Linked DNA regions of Nothobranchius furzeri. The protein of the gene in region 2 purifies or fractionates together with the protein of the main gene of each other region. This does not show direct contact. Links are inferred from orthologs where the notes say so. Each region holds a gene or a part of one and is shown on either strand. Other genes may lie near its edges. The genes, in order: dlg5a and sorbs3.

Region 1 (10,447 bases), on a different chromosome or scaffold from region 2:
ATCAGCAAAATTCCAAGTGAGTGGCTACTCAGGGAACTCTATGCCACTTATTTCCTGTTGACTTCACCTTAAAACACCCGACAGTAAAGATGTGGCTCTGTGCTTGGCTGGTTAGGTTTCTGTGGGTGGGTTCACTGCACTACACTCAATAATGATGAGGTGGGGAGGGAGGCCTGTGGAACTGATGACAGCTGTTAAGCTGCTTTGGCCACATTAAACAAGTCCACAAAGCCACACTGGAAGAATACATTTGGAACATGTCACGCTAACAAATTACAGAGAAAGTTTTAGGCTTCGAAAACACATGCAAGGGTTTTAACCTTTAGAGTTTGGATGGAGATTAGAGTAAATTATGTCAGATGTGAGAAGATTGTTTGGATCCTAAAGATAATACCACAATGCTTTGACATGTTTCTGCAAAATTCACAATTTTGATGTGAAGATTATAAACCGCTGATCTGTTCGAAGGTGTCCAGCTCAACACTATTTCACAGTTAATTTAAAACCTGCAAATTGAGTTGCCTGATTTAACATTTCTAATCATCTGGGGCTTCTTTCACATGATCTTAGCATGTGCTGGGGCAGAGGAACACAAAGGAAACTCATCACCAACCAGTGGTGGATTTAGCGATTTGGGGGCCCAAGGCGAACACAGACATGGGGCCCCTTACACTAAATATTCGGCAATCTTACCTTTAACTGGATTTGCGAAACTCTCCCCTCTTCTGACAAGAGTTACTTTCACTTTTTATTAGTCCTCTTTTCCTGTCTTTCTCTCCCTTTGAGTGTCTTCAATGTTTGCTCTGCTTTCTTCTTCCTGTCAGTGCTCCTGTGCTTTTGCCTTTGTTATTTGTTTTTCTATTTTCCATTTTGGTCTATGTTTTCCTCCCTTGAAACATTTTCCATTGTCTTTCCTTTCTGCTCCTTTTTGATGTTTACATAGAAAAACAACATCACTTTTGGAAGTGAAGATAAAATCTTTTTTAAAGCAAACTGCTTCTTTCTCTTATTGGAGCCACTAAGATAACTCAATTTCATGCTTAATGTTTTGACTACCGCTTCGAGTTTGTTACGAACGCTCCCGCCTCTCTTTTTCTTTTTCTGCTTTTTCTTCTTCTTCTTCTTATTTGTGGTCTTATGGCACTTGGCAAATAACAATTTGGTGCATTACTGCCACCAACTGGATTGGAGTAGAATGACTAACAATCGCTTCCTGTTTGTGAATTGGTGTCTTTAAGGAATAGTCCATTGTGGGATTAAAAGAGGGGTGCCGGTTGTCAGAGTGAGGGGGCGCCCTTATGTTGGGGGCCCCAGACGGCCACCGACCTATGCCTAATGGTAAAACCGCCACTGTCACCAACACAACATTTCAGAAAACAACATTTCTCAGAACAACCACAAATGTGCTGTTTTTGCTTAGTTCTTTTATTAAGCTCTGACATAAAATAATGAACTTTATGTGTAACGTTGTGGATTTTATAAACCCTAAAATCATTGTTGTGCCGTTCTTGGCTCGGACAGATTCAGCTGAATCTCCTCTCAGACAAACAGTGAAAAGAAAACTATAAAATTTTCTCTCTGAGAAAGGGACGGGATAAATGATGGATATCCTTGCTGACAGTCTCTTCAATAAAAGATAAGGCTATTATCTGCCCCGTTCTAGGCTGTCCTATAAACAAATCTTGTTTAACAATTTCCAGTGAATCATCAGACAGCCAGAAACACCGCTATCCTTGTCTAAACAATAAATTCATTCATACCCTCAAGATAAAAAAAAGCATTAGGCTGTCCTCCTAATTCATATGTATGTCCTCAGAAAAAAGGGAACAAACGCTGCTGTCCAATCCGTGTCAGCAGCAGAAACCTGCTTCCCTTTGATATGAATGAATTGTAATTAATTTTTCATCCGAACGAATGGCACATGGTTGCACAAGCCGTGCAGCCAGCGTGGCAGAGAGACAGAAGGGAGGGGATAGAGTAGATGTCACAGTGAGATTCAGTGAGTGCATGAATAAGGTCATGGTTTGAGAGGTATGGCTGCAGACGCCTGTCTCTGTGCCAACAATCTATTCAGCTGCAGAAGGTGCACCCGCCGTCATCAACATATCCTCTCTTAATGCAAATTTCATTTGTCATCATATTTAATTGTTCGTTAACTATGAAGCTACCGCCCTCATATTTCTCATCTATCATGGGGATATAGTACTCACTAAAAATGATGCATGCAGCTATTGTGCAGTATGTCTTTATGATTTCATGGACATTTTCCTTAAACAAAACACGTAAGTGAACCAAGTCATTGGCCTTCTGATGATAAAATGTTTTCATGGTAAATATAAAGATTAATATAGTTAGTTGTGTTTACATACAGATACATGCAATTACACATGTTTATTTCTATCAATTGTTGTAGTGCATGCAAATTCTGCCTTAAAAAAAACGTGATTTCTGCACTAAAATGAACTGTATTCACATCCAAAATGGATGTGCTCTTTTTCAAGGCTTCAAACATGACTGAAAACTGTCTCCCTAAGAAGTGTGAGCAGTTCCTTTGTGATTCTTTAATTGATCAAACATCTAAATATACAGTACATTGCAAATATTGCATTTGCATTTAGAAGCATCCTTTCGGTCAAAGAGGAATGACGGAAAAACCAGACAAATTCACTAAATACAATAGAAAATTACATCTGGCTGAATAAAGATCCCGGCCTCTTAAAACAACAAGATGAATGTGCTTCTGAGTAACCAGCAATTATTGCAAAACTGTTGTATTAATTTTAATTTGTTGTTATAAATAAGTATTTAGGAGAGCAAATGCAAAAGCCTTGTATTCTTTTTCTTGCATATGTTTATTTTTCTTATTCTGTTAATAACTAAGAAATAGTTGAATATGCTTTTGTAAGTTTTAGTTTTATGAGTAAATTAAATGAATTGTATTTTCATCTACATCGTGGAAGTTAACTACAACAGTTTTAATCTGATTTCCGGTAATAACCGTGATCAGTACATTAACCATAACGGCTTCATATGTGGCGAAAGTTTGAAATTTATTGGAAATTTTCTTCATTCTCATGTTTTTTTTTCCCCACCTGGGATTTTCAACGTACTACGGCCCAGTGTGTACGCCCATTGAAGAAAGAGGCGTGTTTCCGGCCAGACTCCGCCCTATTTGACCATATTTGGTCATTGAACGAGTCGTTGATTGACATCGGGCAGCAGCTGCTGAGTTGCTCAGACATGGCGGAGGGTACAGTGTAACTGAGGCTCAGCGGCGGAGTTACGGGAGTTTTTCCAGCAGTTGACTCGGCAAAGGGCGCATAAAATGATACAAGGAGGAGAGGAAATGTTCTCAGCGACAGCGTACTCCGAGGGGAAGCAGAAAACAAGCTGAACTGCTACACGTTAGTAAGATGGGAAAATGCATCGCTGTTTAGTGCAGTCAACAGCCTTGGGCAACAAATATGGCTTCTTGTGCCTTTTTCAATATGCTATTAAAGAGGATCTCCCATGCAACTTAATGCCGTGGTGGCTCTGGCGAACTTCTGCAAGCCGCGGTAAGTTCACTTCAATCATCGCTCGGTACTTTTGATCGGTAGGGATCTTCCATCCACTTGAGCCGTCTGGGTTAGCTGGGAAAGCTACGGAACTACAGCGGAGAGCAATGGAGCCAAAGCACAAAGAGTTGCTAGACCAGTACCACCAGAACTTATTGGAGTCCATAACAGATGCCGACCGAGTCATCGAGTTGCTGGTAGTCTCTGGTACCTTAAGCCAACTCGACAAGTTCGAGCTGGAGCAGAACTGCTCATCTAGCGCCGAGAAAGTCGACCACCTTTTGAAGATGCTGATGAACAAGGAGAGCGACCATTTCCTCGACCTGTGTGTGGCCCTGGAGAAGGCGTACCCTGACCTGTACGCTGCCCTGTTCGGTAACAACGGGGGACCAGTGGACCACTCCACCGGTAAGAGTTCACACGTCAACTATTCCCCAATGAGATTTTACTAGAATCCCAAATAAACGAGTAGTCCAGTCCTAACATAGCTGTTCTCCTGCAAGTGTGGTCAAATCTGGGTGGTCTGGTGCAATAGGAGGGTGTGTGCGCGTGCATACAATAAAGTAATGCAAGGATCAAAGCGTCTTATGCAGCTGCATGTAAATTTTCCAACGTGTTGCAATGACATACATGAATCCACAGAGTTGTGTAAATTAAAATATAGCAGTTGAATGAAATAGTTACCTTGACCTGCACATTTAATTCACTTTCTGCTTTTAACTTCATCCAAGGACAAATTTGCATCACTCACACCCATCATGCTGCACAAAAAACTCCTTCATGCAAACCTTTTATGTGCACTCTTTAAATGTATTCACATTTACCGTTATCCACCGTAAAAGCCTCTTCCGCCATCAGCTGCACAGGGTTAGTAGATGGGTAGCCTGAGTTGTTTCCATGACAACGGTCTTACTACTGACATGTTGGTTCATATCAACCTGTACATGGGTGTTCAAGCAGCCTACCCGTGCATGCTTAAAGCATCTTTCATATCAAGTGAAGAGGAAATCTTATCTTAAGCCGTTTAGCCCGATATGTCGGCGGCGGTGCATTAATGCCACATTTTTTAATTCGATTCATTGTACTCATTTGATTTGTGCCCTTTTCCCTCCCAGCAACTGCCTTCACTTCAGTGGTTTTGGTTGCTGTTTCCCAGAGACAAAGGCCAGCCAAGTGTAAAAACCATGTCTAGTTTTGCCTGTTTTGTTTTGTCTCAATGACTAAAGCCAGTCAGTGGCTTTCTTACAACCAGCGTCATGCCCTGAGGGTTTGAATGCAGGATGAGCCCTGGGATCCAGAAGTAGGGAGAAGATGCAGAGAATGACTCCTCTTTGGCAGACAGCGTTTCAGAAATAAACTCAAAGTTTCAGGTGATGTTTGAGATCCCAGCATAGCTGTAGATTTATTTTGAAAGGCTTGTTTACTGTTCCTGTGTGTCTTGGTCTAAGTAGACCCTTGCAGGTAGTGCTGAGCTGGTTTCTTGCTGCTCTGCTCTGCTGACAGGATCATTAATGCTTCCTTAAGCTTTATTACTTCCTTGTATTGAGTGTTGGTGCTGCAGAATTACACTTGGCAGTGTGGGTTTGAGCTTTTCTCCACACACACATACACACACCTTTTTATTCTGTAGCACTGGGCCTCAAAGTTGACATGTCTTGTGTTTGGAAATACCGTGCACAAGTACTAAGCCTGGCTTGTCAGTCAGTGGTTATTCAACAGAGGATTAGGCCCTGCTCCCCTCAATCTGGTGCACACTTTCTCTCTGAGATGCTTTTTAATGCATCCAGTCATGTGTATCAGCCACTGTGCTTGTGGCATTCATTTTTTAAGTAAATCATTACAGTTTTCATATAGCTGATTTTTATTTTATTTTTTAATTTGGGAGGCATTCTGGTGTCCTGATTATGAAGATCTAACCCAATCTTGTTGGAAAGAAACCAACGAAAAGCCTCTCACCATCTTCCTTCTAGTACAGAAGCGCGTGGAAAAGGCTCATGGGGATGAAATCTTCAGAGCCTCTGAGTGTTTGTGAACAACACTGGGTGTGTGAAGAGAGGGAATCTGAGTGTGATGAGTCTTGCTGATAGCAACCTGCTCTCAGCTTGTCCTCTGCTCATGCTGCCTGTCTGCTCTTGTTCTCTGATGTGCTTCCTATGCCAGCTGAGCCTCCGAAGATGCGCGCATATGCAATCACCCGAAGACAACATTGTCCCACCAAAGGAAAAAAACAAGCAGATGCCCGCATTAATACTCGATGTTTGATGCGTAGGCTGTGTGAATTATTTGTGTTTTTCTTTCAACCTGCAGCATGTTTTCTGTAGAGGTTGTGCAAATGTATCCTCATTATTTCGTGAATCTGTGCTCCTTCAAATGATGGCTCATCCTTTTGGAAGAACGTATCTCACTTGGATAAAATTGCACTGTAGTGATTTGCTCAGATTGTTGAGTGCTGCTGAAGTTTCAGCAGAAGCTAGTGTGTTAAGTTTTCAGGTGGAAGGGTTGTTAATCTAAGCAGCCGTAATGAAGCTGTTTTTATGTCTTGGCCTGTGTGCTCATGTTCCTGCACTGCTTGAGCCGCATTTACCTCAAAAACGGAATAGTAAAGCTATACCTGCAACCCTCCACTCTTTACCTCACACACTGTGCATCATCAAAAGCACCGTTTTTCTGTTTACTCTGTGTTTGTGTTGTCGGATCTTTGATCCTGTGGTTTGTTGTCCTGTCCTCTGAATCACCATTTACTTTACTACAACCCACTTTATGTATTTTCTCCCACTGAGTGTTTTTATTTCTCTACACCCTTAAATAAAGGGACTCACCAGAGAGACAGCGGAGGGTGATAGAAAGAGGGAGGAAGAGTGAGGCAGACAACGGGGCTTTTGTTGAGAAGTTGAGCAGGCCCAAAGTGCAGAGTCAGCAGCTTGCTCTGTGTACAGCAGCCTAGGACATGGGCCAGTGTTTTTGTGTTACTGGAGGGGGGGTGCTGTACCCTCTGTCACAGAGTTTCTGTCCTATTCCATAAACCATGGTGGGCAGACGGGATGAGTTATGACCCTGGAGCTCTTTGTCACAAACACAGCTCTTAAATATCTCCCAAGAGATGGACCTGGCTTCACTTTCTTCGTCACTCACTGTCTGCGTCAGTTTCTGTCATTCAGTGACGCACGCTGTCTCTTACCTTGTCATCTCAATTTCTTTCGGTTCACCACTCTTTGGATCTCAGTGCTGCTTTGCCAATGTGCAGAGGGAGCCATCAGTTCATCATATTTAGAGGAGCAGTAACGAAAGGTTGACCTTATGGTTTCCTCGGATCATTATCTCCATAGTTCCAGTAGAAAGATGTCACCACTGCCTATTGTTGCAAGTGTTCTCTTTTTCACTTGTGATGAAATCAGATTGTTGATTTGAGAACCACAACCAGGAGGCATTAACTCATTCGCTGCCAGCCGTTTCCTGATCAGTAAAGCCCTTCGCTGCCAGCGTTCCTCACCGTTTTTACTGGGTACATATTTAAGAGTCACAAAACGTTGCGCGTTAGGATGATGTAGATGCCAAAACAACCAAATCAAAGCGGAGACTCACCTCTTACATCAGAAAGAATTTGCGCATTTTGAGCGTTATCCGTTCTTTCACAATCAGTTGTTAAATTGTGATCAGCAGAAGCTTTTCCGGTTCGCGCCTCACCTTTTTTACAGCAGCGGCCCAAAACGATCTCCTAACACATGGATTTTCTGCTTCCGGATTTTTTGCTTCCTGATCACGAGACGTGTGACGTATGCGGATTAAGATCAGCTTTAGAGCTGAGATGTTTATTCTCATGGTGCGGGAGCTTGTTCCGATGCCCACACAGTAAAAAAAAAAAAAATGCAAATGACGACTTTAGTCATGATTGGCAGTGAATGAGTGAATGTGGAACAGGACCATTTTACACATATTCCACTTCCTCACCACGCTCTAATTACTCTTCAGAGTAGAGAAAATGCCAGAATATACAAGTGCTGGTCAAAAAATTAGAATATCATGACGATTCATTGCATTAATTCCATTCAAAAGTGAAACTTGAATACATATTGAATTCATTACACACAGACATGTTTATTTCTTTTTATTTTGATGATTATGACTGACAACTAATGAAAACCCAAATTCAGTATCTCAGAAAATTAGAATGTTGTGAAAAGATTCAATATTGAAGAACACTGGTGCTACACTCTTATCAGCTAATTAACTCAAAACACCTGCAAAAGCCTTTAAATGGTCTCACCCTAGTTCTGTAGGCTACACAATCATGGGGAAGAATGCTGACTTGACAGGTGTCCAAAATACAACCAATGACACCTTGCACAAGGAGGGCAAGACACAAAAGGTCATTACTAAAGAGGCAGGCTGTTCACAGAGCTCTGTGTCCAAGCTCATTAATCGAGGCAAAAGGAAGGATAAGATGTGGTTGAAAAAAGTGTACAACAATAGGGATAACCGTACCCTGGAAAGGATTATGAAACAAAACCCCATAAAAATGTGGGGGAGATTCACAGAGTGGACTGCAGCTGGAATAGGTTCTTCCAAGAACCACTGTGCACAGATGTATGCAAGACATGGGTTTGAGCTGTTGCATTCCTTGGGTCGAGTCACTCTTGAACAAGATACAGTGTCAGTAGCGTCTCACCTGGGCTAAAAACAAAAAAGACTGGACTGCTGCTGAGTGGTCCAAAGTTATGTTCTCTGAAAGTAAATTTTGTATTTCCTTTGGAAATCAAGGCCCCAGAGTCTGGAAGAAGAGAGGATAGGCACAGAATCCATGTTGCTTGAGGTCCAGTGTAAAGTTTCCACAGTCGAGGATGGTTTCCAACAGGACTTGGCACTTGCACACAGTGCCAAAGCTGGTTTAAGGACCATGTTCTTCACTATCCCTGTTCTTGATTGGCCAGCAAACTTGCCTGACCATAACCCCATAGAAAATATGTGGGGTTTTGTGAAGAGGAAGCTGTAATACACCAGACTAACAATTCAGAAGAGCTGAAGGCCATGCCATGCCACATTGCTGCAGTAATCCAGGCCAAAGGAGCCCCAACTAAATATTGAGTGCGGTACATGCTCATGCTTTTCATGTTTATACTTCTCAGTTGGCCAACATTTTAAAAATGTATTTTTTTGCATTGGTCTTAAAGTAGCTTTCCGGAGTTTTCCCCTTTCAGAAATTATGTGTGATTTTTCAGAAATCCGTAGAAGTGATTGTCTTATCATGTACTGTGATATAATGTAAGCAATACGTCTTTTTTTTTTTTTTTTTGCTAAGCACGCCCCTGCCCCGCAGAGCTCTGTGCAATAGGAAACTGAGTGTCTACCAGAACTAACCAATAGCGTTAGACTACTGCTTACATTCTTCACATTTATGGAAGTACCTCAGCTGATGCAGAGTTGATGAACTTTTCACAATGTTTAAAATATAAATGTATAAAAACGTAACACGACATAAGAATAATACTTGCAAAACGTGTTTAAGCCGGCTACAGAAGCACAAAGAAATGTGAAGTCGCCATCTTAAAAAAACGGATCAAGACTATTTGTGTGATATGCTTGTCAGCCACTAGATGGTGCAATCAGATAAGAGAAATACTCCGGAAAGAAACTAATTGATATTGTAATATTTTGAGATACTGACTTTGGGATTTTCATTAGTTGTCAGTAGGGATGCACAATATATCTGCGTCAAAATCGGTATCGGCCGATGTTAAGTCATTTTTTTTAAGATATCTGTATCGGTCCGATAAATAAAATTGGACCGATATTAACAACTGATATTTTTTTCATCTTGTTTCCCTTTGTTTATCTGTTTCAGAGGATAAAGGGGGTGATGAGTGTGGTATTTTTAGTCATGTGACAGTGATTGTTAACATCTCAGAAGCGTAAATGAGTGAGGTGTGTACACAATAACGTAAATTCAGCTTTAATAATTTTCAGTCTATACAAAATCTGCTGATTTCAGAGGCATTAATGTCCGTATATCGGTATAGGCCATAACAGTGATATTCATATCGGTATCAGCCCATAAATTTCATATCGGTGCATCACTAGTTGTCAGTTATAATCATCAAATGAAAGAAAAAAATCTTTTGAAATATATCAGTCTGTGTATAATGAATGAATCTAATATACGAGTTTCACTTTTTGAATGGAGTTGGAATGTGCTATGAGCAAAGCAGTTGACTGCTATGACCACAGCCAATGGGCTACGGGCAGAGCACCGCACAGCCACGTTAGCATAATACGACGGAGCACAAGTTCAAAGTACATCGAAGACATTCGTTAAACATCAAGTATGAACAAAGTTTCAAATATAAACAAAGTTTTTAACGACTGTACTTATAAACTGCCAAAACAGTGCTTCTCAGTTAAGTGTTGACTTATCACAAAAGTCAGCCATTTGTGGCTATGGGCGCGCCCTCGTGGCTGTGGCTACAATTGGAGCTCGACCTCGCTCTAAAAATAATAAAATAACCTGTTGAAAAGCACTAGAATGTGAGAAATGACTTCAGCTAAACACATTTTTTTGTGGGGGACCCCTAGACCAACACCCCTGTCACCCCAGATCCTCTCTCTGCCTGTCACTTCAGAGCTGAAGACAAAGCTGAGACGTGGCTGAACATGTGTCGGTCTTTGCCTATTCTTAGAGGAGCAGAAACTTGTTAGCAGAAGGTAAACAAAGGCTTTGCTACTATGTGTAAAAACAAGATTCTCAACTTTATATAGAATCAGGTGTCGGTCATTCTGACAGACTGGGGTTTCTCCGAAGCATGCAGGTGAGCAGACATTTCCAATGGAGAACATCATCAAATCAAATCAACTTTATTTAGCACTTTTCATACAAAAAAAATGCAACTCAAAGTGCT
Region 2 (9,981 bases):
GTGAGGGATCTGTGCATCTGTTCGCCGTGGGAGCTCCAGATCTGAGCGCCGACGACTGAGAGGAAAGAGAAGCCGTTCTAACTGTGGAGATCTGGCTGGGGCAGTGAGGTGGAGCCATGTGGTTGTTCTGGTTGGTGCTGTGGGGAAAACGGTAGGGTGTCTGGGTGGGGGAGCGTGATTGTGAGGCTGGGCTGCCACATGAAACAGGTGAGGACAGTTTGATGGGGGAGTGCTCAGGTTTGGGGCTCAGGGAAGTGGGGGTGAATGGGGAGTGGAGAGGACGCCCTGGACTCTGCGGTCCAGGGGACGTGGGAGACATGGGGCTTGATGGGCAGTCATCTGTGGAGTATTTGGTGCGGGGCATCTTGTTGACCTGGACGTAATTGGCTGGGAAGATGCCGCTCCGGCTCGTTCCCGAGATCCTGCCTTCCAACCACTTATCGTCGACGCATCTTGTTATGTCGATCACCTCACCCTGAAGGAGAGGTAATGCAAGGGTCAAAGGTTAGATCAGACATATGTATGGTGGCTCTGGGGTGCAAAAACGCCACAGCTACATCAGCCTGATTAGATTCCAAGCAAAACTAAAATAAAGCAAAAATGCGTGTCAAATAAAACCTTTTACACGGGATGTAACGGGTCACACACACTCAAAAAGTTCCACTTGTGTCTTGTCAGCCTATTAAACACTTTCCTAAAAGTCTTCAGAATCATCAAGATGTGTTTGGCAAATGTGAAACAGGCCCTTATGTTTCTTTGGGTCATCAGAGCTTTAGACTTGAGGCTCTTCCATGAGGACATTTTAGCCTCTTGTCTTATTCTTCAATCATGAACTGCTGCTACATCATAAATGCTGCTACTCTGTGTGTGTATTTGTAAACACTACTGTTGATTTTACATTCATGTTATTTCTGTGTTATTTTCTTGTTTTCTTTTACATTTTGTACCAAAGGAAGTGGCACTCCAATTTTGCTGTACAACAACAATAAAGGCTATTTTATTCTATTCTATTCTATTCTATTCTATAAACTCTGCTCTAACCAGAACAAAATGAGGTCTGCGGCAATTTTAATGTTGTTCTGTTTTTCTGTCTTGTCTTTCTTCAGAAAGCAGCACAATGTGTGTGTTTATATGTGTATATATATATATATATATATATATATATATATATATATATATATATATATATATATATATATATATATATTTAACCAACATCCTGTTGTCAGATGGTTGTGCTAATGTGATTTCTTAAATTTTCAGGTCTGGTAGTAATCAGGCCATCGTGTGGCTGGAGCAGCTTCCATAATAATGTTTTGCATAATGGAGTCTCACATTAAAATCAGGTAGATGTCTACAAACCTGAGAGCTGTTAACTTTGGCCAAGTGAAGTTAGAACATCTTTATCTTTGAGTTTGAGGGAAACCATGCAGTTTTGGCTTGCTGTTAGCACTCCCTAGAGTCCATTATCAATCCACAGTTGTAAAACCGAAAGTGAAACTCTTTTCTTTGCTCTGCATTTTTAACACCTTAATCTAACTGCTGAAATGACTCTGCAGCCTCCATTAGTGTCTGCAGGAGCGACTCATCACTAAATCAAACAAAGAAGCTGTGTTCATGATCTAAAACAAGCAGTAACCATGCTGGAAGCAGACTGCAGCGCCAGGTACGCCAGCTCCACATTACTAAGACTAAAGTAGGACCATACAGGGAGTGGTCCAGATAAGTTGCAAGTCCGGTATTCTGGCCACAGGTGGTGGTGGGGTCTGAGTGACATTTATTTAATCCTTTTACAGGTCAATCTAGCACAAACTGGCTCAATAAAATGATTTAAAAATAGGAAAAGTTGATCTCTTTTAAATCATACTCAGATTTATAATTAGAATTTCTCTGATGTAAGTCCTGGAGTTTAAAAAACAGCTTATTTAAGACCTTATGCTCTTGGTAAATGTAATCACATTTTTCTAAAGAATATGTTAATGTGTCATCTGTGTGCCAAAATAGGACGCTCCTCTCAGCATCCAATTAGCTCCTCTCCAAACTGTTCCCATGTTTCTGCCAAGAGAAAATCAGCACAACACGTTGTTTTGATCCCTCTGGTTGGATGGATTTAACAAACAGAACAGTACAACGCCAAGACAGCTGTTTGCTTTTTGTCCAGATGGCTAGATCTACGCTGCTCCATACTTACAGCACACAACATGTATGTTAACATCTTACTAGAAACATTAGATCACATAAGAAAAATGTGAAAATGTTCTTAAACTCTTCTAGGTGTCAGAAAAGCTATTCTACTTCACCATTTTGGCTCAATGTGTGGACCGGACAAGAGAACGACTCACTTTACGGAAAGAAAGTTCAACAGGTAGGTCAGCGTTGAAGTTGTACAGAGCTACAGCTTCGCCGTACTCCAGCACCTGAAGAGTGGGAGACCTTAAGGGTGTTGGCTTCTCTGTCGGAGGCAGAACCTAAAAATACACATAAACCATAACTCAGTAGCCTTTATAACACAAAGTACTTCAATAAGATCTGGCGTTAAATGACATAATTCACCTCTACATAAGAAGTGGGGAAGATCCCAGCTCTACCATGGTGCTCCCCTTCAAACCAATTGGCATCGACCTGCCTGTGGATGTAAACAATGTCGCCTTTCTGCAGTGTGAGCTCCCTGAGTGTAGGAGAAAGCGTGCAATCTAAGTTCCTGATTTGAGATTTTCTTTTAAAATATCATCGGAGTAAGATTTAAAGGTACATGAAGTAAGAATGGCATCCTGTGGACAGATGTGGGTACTGCAGTCCATGTTTCAAAACAAATGTGTGACTCTCCTCCCTCCTGATCGTGAGTTTCATGGCTGTTGCCAGTTACGGCTCAACGCCAGAAGATTCTAGATGACGAGCGAAGACGAGTCATACACTGTAAGTTTATAAGCCATTAGAATTGTTAGCTCAGCATTAGCCACTACCCTACTGTACCCAATATTAGAGTAAACCAAATAGACGCTGCGGCTTCTTGGGGGCACAAGAAGCAACTTCTGGGTCGCTCCTGCTACTGGGTAACATTGTTTCCATAGAGCAGCTGCACAGACTCTGTAACCCTGCAGGCTCAGCGATTGTAAACAAAGACTATGTCCCTCTTTAGCTTTTTTGAAAGGAGGAAAACTGACAAAGCTGAGAATTAAATCTGTTTTAATGTAACCTTCCTTCCAACATGATCGACACATTAGACTGTTTAGTGATTATTGCACAGTAAGAGTCTTACTTATTGTACCTTTAAGGTTTACCACATCATTATAAAATTATCACGTTGAAAGAATCTGATGAAGAACTACTCACTTGGGAGACTGAGCCTGGAAATTAAACTTGGCTCTTGCAGCTTTCATCTAAAATAGGAAGATTTACATTCATACTGCAACTATCAGAAAACGTTCATTTTACATTTTGCAGCTTTTCCAGTGACTAGAATTAGTTCAGACGTACCTTTTTCTCTTCTTTCTTTGATGGGAACTCCATGTTTTCATTTGCAGATGGAAGACGTTCTACTGTGGAGCACAACAAGAAGGCTCTAAACACTGAACTCTTTTGTTCTGCGTTTTGTTCTTAAGCGTGTTGCCATTACAGCCAGAACAAGTTCAAAAGCTCTAGGGATGCTACATTTCCAGGGAAAGAAACGGGATGAAGTTAATCTTCAATCAGTTCTTCCGAGTTTCACTTCCTATTTTTGTGAGCTTCCTCCCCACCCATCTACAGCTGTTTCCATAGAGAAGGGAAAACGGTCTAATGAGGGCAACACCAGAGCAGAAGACACCACCAGCAACAAAGCCAAACCATGAGACCGTCATACAATATTAGATTACTCGATGCTTTTATCAAACGTATTAGATCAGTGGGATGGTCGCTGAAGGGAGACAGTTACACAGAGAAAAACATCCAAACAGATAAAGAGGTTGTTTTCTTACCATGTGCAGGAGCAGATGTTATTAATGGGCCACCAGAATGCAGGTCAGGCTGCTTTGATGCTGGCAAATTCCTGAAAATGTGAAAAAGATAGACATAAATTAACTTTTGAGGTTTTATTAGTTTTCTGGTCCAGTGGAGGACTTTCTAAGAGCAAAAAAAGGCTGAATACAGCAGGGAATAGATGCATCCGGCACTTTCCCTCAGCTTTACAGTGTACATCAACTGTTTGCAGCTGGTTTTGATATTTTTGAATGGAGAAGAAACAAATTATCAGACAAGATTTTATCCTTTTTCACTGGAAATCTTGTTTCAATGAGCTTCATGAAGCTCTATTCATGACCAGGAACAGGTGTGTTTCTGTGTTGAGCTTTATCTCCTAACCCACAGATTCCAGCTTTCCTTTTGTTTTTCAGTGTTTGGCAGGCGGACAGAAGAATCGTAGCTGCTACATGCTTTAAATTTACACATTCTTAGTGAAATCCCCTCAGGATTGGAAACAATTGCTCAGTTTAGCAAACAGCAGCATGAACTCTTCAGGAATGCATTACACACAAGGTGAGAAATGAGTTAGTGGAAACTTAATTTGTTTACCTGACAGCTGCCCAACACTAAGTCACATATTAATCTAACACACAACTATAACACTTGGATTCCTGAATCAGCAGGAGGTCTGCTGTGATTTCAACTAAACAACGATGCAACATGAAAGTGGACTGGGGAGGGTGGGGGCGGCTTAACCCTGATTTTTCAGCTTCTTTATGCTTAAATGATGCAAACTTTATGGATTATCGAGCATCTACTTCTCTATAGTTGATTGCAGTTTCAGTTGCAGCCTTGCTTCATGCACGTTTGTTTGTATTCTAGTGAAAAGAATGAATCACATTAACAGGATCAGCTTGTCACAATGGTGTAAACCTCCCATAAAACAGTTTTAGACAAACGCACAAGAGAGAAGCGTAGAACACAAGTATTTATCTCACTCTAAAACTAAAATACTCATAAATTATAGAAAAATTGGACTAAAAGGTGATGAAAAGCTGATAACTTGATCTTTATAGCTTCATTGAAATGGTACGGTGTAGATCAACTAACCTGTGGTTGGGAGTCTTTGGAGTGGGATCTGGATCCCTGTTTCTGGCCTCCTGTAAGCAGAGGGAACCCTTTAGGACGTTGCTCTCTGCAGCACCACTCAGCCTTCTGCATCTCATACTTCAGAGGAAATCTCACAACAACTCAGACAAAGTAGAGGTGCTGCTGACCACTCCCAAGTGAGCAAAGAAATCCCCAGGGTCCTATCCTCCTCGAGCTTGCAGCAACACGGCTCATGATCTGTCTGAGCTGTCTGTGATTTCATGCTAACCCTAGGAGGCTGGTTCTGTCACAGAAACATCAAACATGACATCAGAGCTGTTGGAAAGTTCCCGTGGAGCAGGGAAGAGGAGGAGCAGGCAGCACTATGGTTGTATATGATCTAAAGGAAACTATGTTTTTATCTTTTGCTCTTTTGGCAGCCAGGTCTAGATTTGCTGTGGGGAACTGTCAGGAGGGCGATTAAGAGAGAAGATCAATCTGAGTGCAGGGCAGGCAGGCCATTCTCAGGCAGTCAAAGAGAAGAATGTTCACGTTCTCAGCTAGCAAGCAAAGGGATCTCATTGACACGTAGCTTTCACTGGGAGGGTAGGGAACGGGAGTGGGTGGGAATTCTGCTAGATTGGTGAGATAGAGGGGGTGATTTGGCAGAAAGAGTCGGTAGGGAGGCTCAGTACCTCACCCCGGCCTTGACGCTGCTTCTTCTGGGAAAGAGTCCTCTCCAGGCCCTGAATCTCCGAGTCCAGCTCAGCCTCGAATCGACTCAGCTCAGACGCCAGACTGGCCTGACTCCCGCAATTAAAGAGTTGGAATAAATAAAACACAGCTAGAGCAGGGGTTCTGGAGCTTAAGTGGCCCTCGTTTACTTTTAATATTCATAAAGTCAACAAAATAATTCTACGTGAAATTGTGTTGTGGATGCTTACCTCAATGGAAGGGGACTTGGGTTTCTCGGGTTGTGTCTTTGGGGATAAAAAAGTCTAAAAGAAGAGAAAAAAGAGAACACAGTTGAAGCAGATTTAGAGCTAAACATTAGTGATGTTGTTGCACCAAATGGAAAAAGAAGATAACAAGAGAAATAAACTGATTGTGGCCTTAAAGCGGGACATAATGTGTTTTTTTTTTGTTTTGTTTTTGTTTTTTTGTTTTTCAAAAATCTGCATTGGTTTTTAGTATTATTAAAGATTAAATTAAAGTCCCATACACATGTCACACACACTGGTGTGGTGTGGTGAAAATTATCCTCCACATTTGACCCATCCCCGTGGGGAGCGGTGAGCTGCAGACATGGCCATGCTCCGGAACTATTAGGTGGTTTATGAGTGCATGCCTTAGTCGATCTCTGTGGAAAAAAGCTCTTGCGCTCCTGTTTTAGGAAGTAAAAGGTTAGCTGGAGGGAAGGGGGGCTGAAAACCGACGCGATTTGGAATTTCACTCATTATCATTCATGCTATGTGGAAATCTGGCCTCTAATTGGCTAACAGCAACACAACTCTACCATTGACTCAGTTTGCGCTGTAACGCTGATGTTTTATCTCCATAAATAACTCAAACATGAAGGAGTTGCTAATGCTAACAATTAGCTTCACTAGCTGAGGTGAGCTCTGCTCTCTCCTGGATGTGAAAATCAACAACAGCCTTTCCCAGTTGTGAGCCCAGGTGGCTGGGTCCATGACAGCTATTTGACGTAGATCTGAATGACTTTTTCTGATCTGAGTGTTTCCCCGTATATTTTCTTCTGGTGTCACAACAGGTCGGTGTTTAGGCGTGAAACTTTTTGGCACAGAAATTTTACCAAGTTGAGCAAAAGTTATGAAATTACTCCACAAACAGACTTTGTTTTAAGTGAAAACTTAAAATTTTCTGAGTGTTTGGTATAAAACACATGAATTAAATCAGTTTCCATACAAAAGCTGTTTTTTACCCTCTCAGGCTCAAAAAAAGTCTTGATAAAAGGACGAACAACTAAGTCCTTCAGGAGTACTTCTGAGTTTAAAAATGCTCATGTATGTGGAGTAGCCAGGTAGGTAGGTTTTAACGTTGCAAATCTGCAACGCCTGCCTGCAGAGGGTTAAATAATCTTTCAGAATAAGAGTTTCCAAAATGCAGAGGTCAAAGTACAACATCTATAGCCTGCCAAAGCACATTTTGGACTCAACACTGCTGAGGTATAAACCAGCACATTTTTTTCTGTTTAACAAGCGCTGAAATAACTCGTTCACTCCCTCTCTGCACATATTTGACACCACTCGCCGCTGATTCGATCGAACATTACTTTAAAAGGCCCTGTTGGTGAGAACCGCAGACGACTGCTTCATTTTTTAGTAGAACCTTGGCTGAACGTGTCTCTCTGAATGCCAGAAACCTTCATCGTCCCGTCTGCAAGCACAAACAGCGATGTCACAGAGAAGCAGCACAACACCTGATATGGTCTGTGAGCTGCTTTTCTAAATGCAGGGGATACGGCTTCAGCCAATTCCACAAAGACTAAATGAAAGAAGTCCCCGTGCTGTGAGCCATTAAACACCACAAGAGGTTAACACCATAATACAAATCACAAGACACATCAGCTCCCATGGGGGAGTGGAAACAAAGATTTATTTTCTTCTTCAGATGAGACACAGTATGCACCACAGATCTGGAGCAGTGTTCCCAAACAACCCGAAAACTCACAGGGTGTATTAAAACCCACAAACACTAAAATAACTAATAAATCACAGCAGAAAGCCAAAACCATGGGAGAAATCATCAAAAACTGATTCTGTACAAACCACAATAGATTAGTCCCTTTTTCTCTGCAAATCTGAATGCATCATTGTTGAGATGACTAACAGGGATGAGCTCACCTGGAGTTTAGAACCCTCTGGTGAACATTGTCTGTCTTTACCAGGTACTGCATAAGTTGCACGAGAAGATGAAAAACAAGGGCTCAGACGATAATCCTAGAAGACGTGACCGACTGAGACAACAAACCATACTGAGAATTGCACCTATAAGTCCCAACAACAATGCTGAGGAAATTTAAAGATTAAAAGAACTTTATTTTGGACTTAGAGTCTATTTTTAAACCGTGTGACTGCGTGTGAGGTCGTACCTGGCTGTGAGTTTCTGAGGTGGGGCTCTTTCCGGGCTCAAAGTCGAAAATGCTCCTCGGCTGAGGTTGTTGCTTTCCGGGGTCTGACAGCTTATCTACATCCTCGCTCCTGAAAGGTAACACCCCAACACACACACACACACACACACACACACACACACACACACACACACACACACACACACACACACAACTTAGTTTCGGCTTCATTGTGAGTGCTGTAACAACAGATCCAAACTTGTCCGTCCTACACGTTTACTCTCCGCTGCACATGGGCAAAGTTTTGGTTGGTTTTTTTGGTAACACTTTACAAAAAGGGTTGCTTCATTAATGTTACTTTGTGCATTATTAAGCATTAATAAACTATTTTAAAAAGTTTTAACAACTGCTTAAACATATTATTATGCATTATTAAGCAGACCATCCCCGTCCCTTTGCGTTAACTTAAAGGAAACGCAATAGTTAACAATAACGGTAGCATTAATATAGGTGTCCTTTCTTTATTAATACTTAACTCACTCACTAAGTAATGTTAATGAAGGGACATTTATTGTAAAGTGCTGCTGGTATTTCTACAAGTCAAGCTATATCCTGGTAAATAATGACTTCTTTTCATTTAATTTTACTTCTTAATAAAAAATAAAAGAAAAACATGCCAGCACCACTAACAGTTCACTACTAAAATTTTATTTTTCTTTTTTATGCGTGTGCAGTTAAATTACGTGAGGCAGCTTAATTTAAACAGCACATTTCATACACAGACAGTGACAACATACAACAGTAAATTTTAAAATCCACTTTATAATACACAAACAGAATTACATTTTAAAAAGGCTAAGTTAAACACTGAGCAGTTACAGTCACAGACGGTGCAACATAAGAAACAATAACTCAAAGGCTGATGAATGCTTGAATGTTTTCACTTTGATTTAAAGGTTTCTGGTTTGGGGATTTGAGGTAAAGGGAAGCTGAATCTGTGTGCAGCAAAGTAGCTAAACGCAACTTCTGTTTGGTTCAGAATTGTTTTAAATGATAAAAAATGTAGTAAAAAATTACTTAAAGTTTTGAAATCTTTGTTTAATGCTTCCTCAAAAAGTATGATTCTAGCAGGGACAGGCTAGCTTAGTTGTGTGCTAATTAGCAACGGTAGCTATCATAACAGTTGAGCACATATCAGTCCGAAGTCTGAACATTTGCAGACTTTATGGATCATCAGGGAACTAAAAAACATCCATAATGCATTTAGAAATATTGTGTTTACTGACAGAGACCAAACGTTGGCTGAGCCTTAAAAATCCTGACTATGTCTGTCGTCAACAACTTGGTAATTTTTTTTATCCTCCTTCTTCAGCCAACTTGTCCTCCTTTTGCTTGTTACCATGGGAACGAGACTTCCAACAAGATGCAGAGTACAACCTGCTGCAGCTTCGTCTGTTTCAGACGTTTAACTGAAATCTAGTAAACTTGTTGGTAAGGTGAATAAAATATCATAACAAGTAATTCTGACAAATACCAGGTTTACTACATCGTTTTCATTTTACTCTTATCGCTGAGGTTTTTGTTTTATCTAAGAGGCTATTATTTATCTGTGATGTTAATCTGCCTAAATCTTTTTTTTCTCAGAAAATGAAACTGAATGTGTTAGATGAACTCTGCGTACACTCACCAATCTGGCAGAGACCCATAAGGTGTCAGTCTGAAGAGATTCTTGTCGGCTTCATTACTTTCTACTTTGTCAGCAGATGACGGGAGCCCTGCTGGTCATACCAGATTAAACGTTAACTATGATCAGACTAACCAAGGCGGAATGGGGCCGAATGTGGCGGAATCACCCACGTTCT

Evidence for each region.
Region 1: the proteins of sorbs3 (region 2) and dlg5a purify together in Homo sapiens (co-immunoprecipitation; 3 studies listed by BioGRID and IntAct, with this or other methods). This does not show direct contact. The link is inferred for Nothobranchius furzeri from reciprocal best matches to the Homo sapiens genes SORBS3 and DLG5.

What each region holds. Positions count from the first base shown.
Region 1 is NC_091752.1:34,938,944-34,949,390, forward strand, and holds the start of dlg5a (disks large homolog 5a), read left to right. Parts: upstream 1-3,447; 5' UTR 3,448-3,664; coding exon 3,665-3,965; intron 3,966-10,447. UniProt on the Homo sapiens protein: Acts as a regulator of the Hippo signaling pathway.
Region 2 is NC_091757.1:39,858,336-39,868,316, reverse strand, and holds part of sorbs3 (vinexin), read right to left. Parts: coding exon 9,977-9,981; intron 9,898-9,976; coding exon 9,807-9,897; intron 8,250-9,806; coding exon 8,141-8,249; intron 6,027-8,140; coding exon 5,973-6,026; intron 5,832-5,972; coding exon 5,724-5,831; intron 5,100-5,723; coding exon 5,050-5,099; intron 4,818-5,049; coding exon 4,758-4,817; intron 4,028-4,757; coding exon 3,957-4,027; intron 3,540-3,956; coding exon 3,478-3,539; intron 3,381-3,477; coding exon 3,334-3,380; intron 2,669-3,333; coding exon 2,554-2,668; intron 2,469-2,553; coding exon 2,343-2,468; intron 476-2,342; coding exon 1-475. UniProt on the Homo sapiens protein: Vinexin alpha isoform promotes up-regulation of actin stress fiber formation. Vinexin beta isoform plays a role in cell spreading and enhances the activation of JNK/SAPK in response to EGF stimulation by using its third SH3 domain.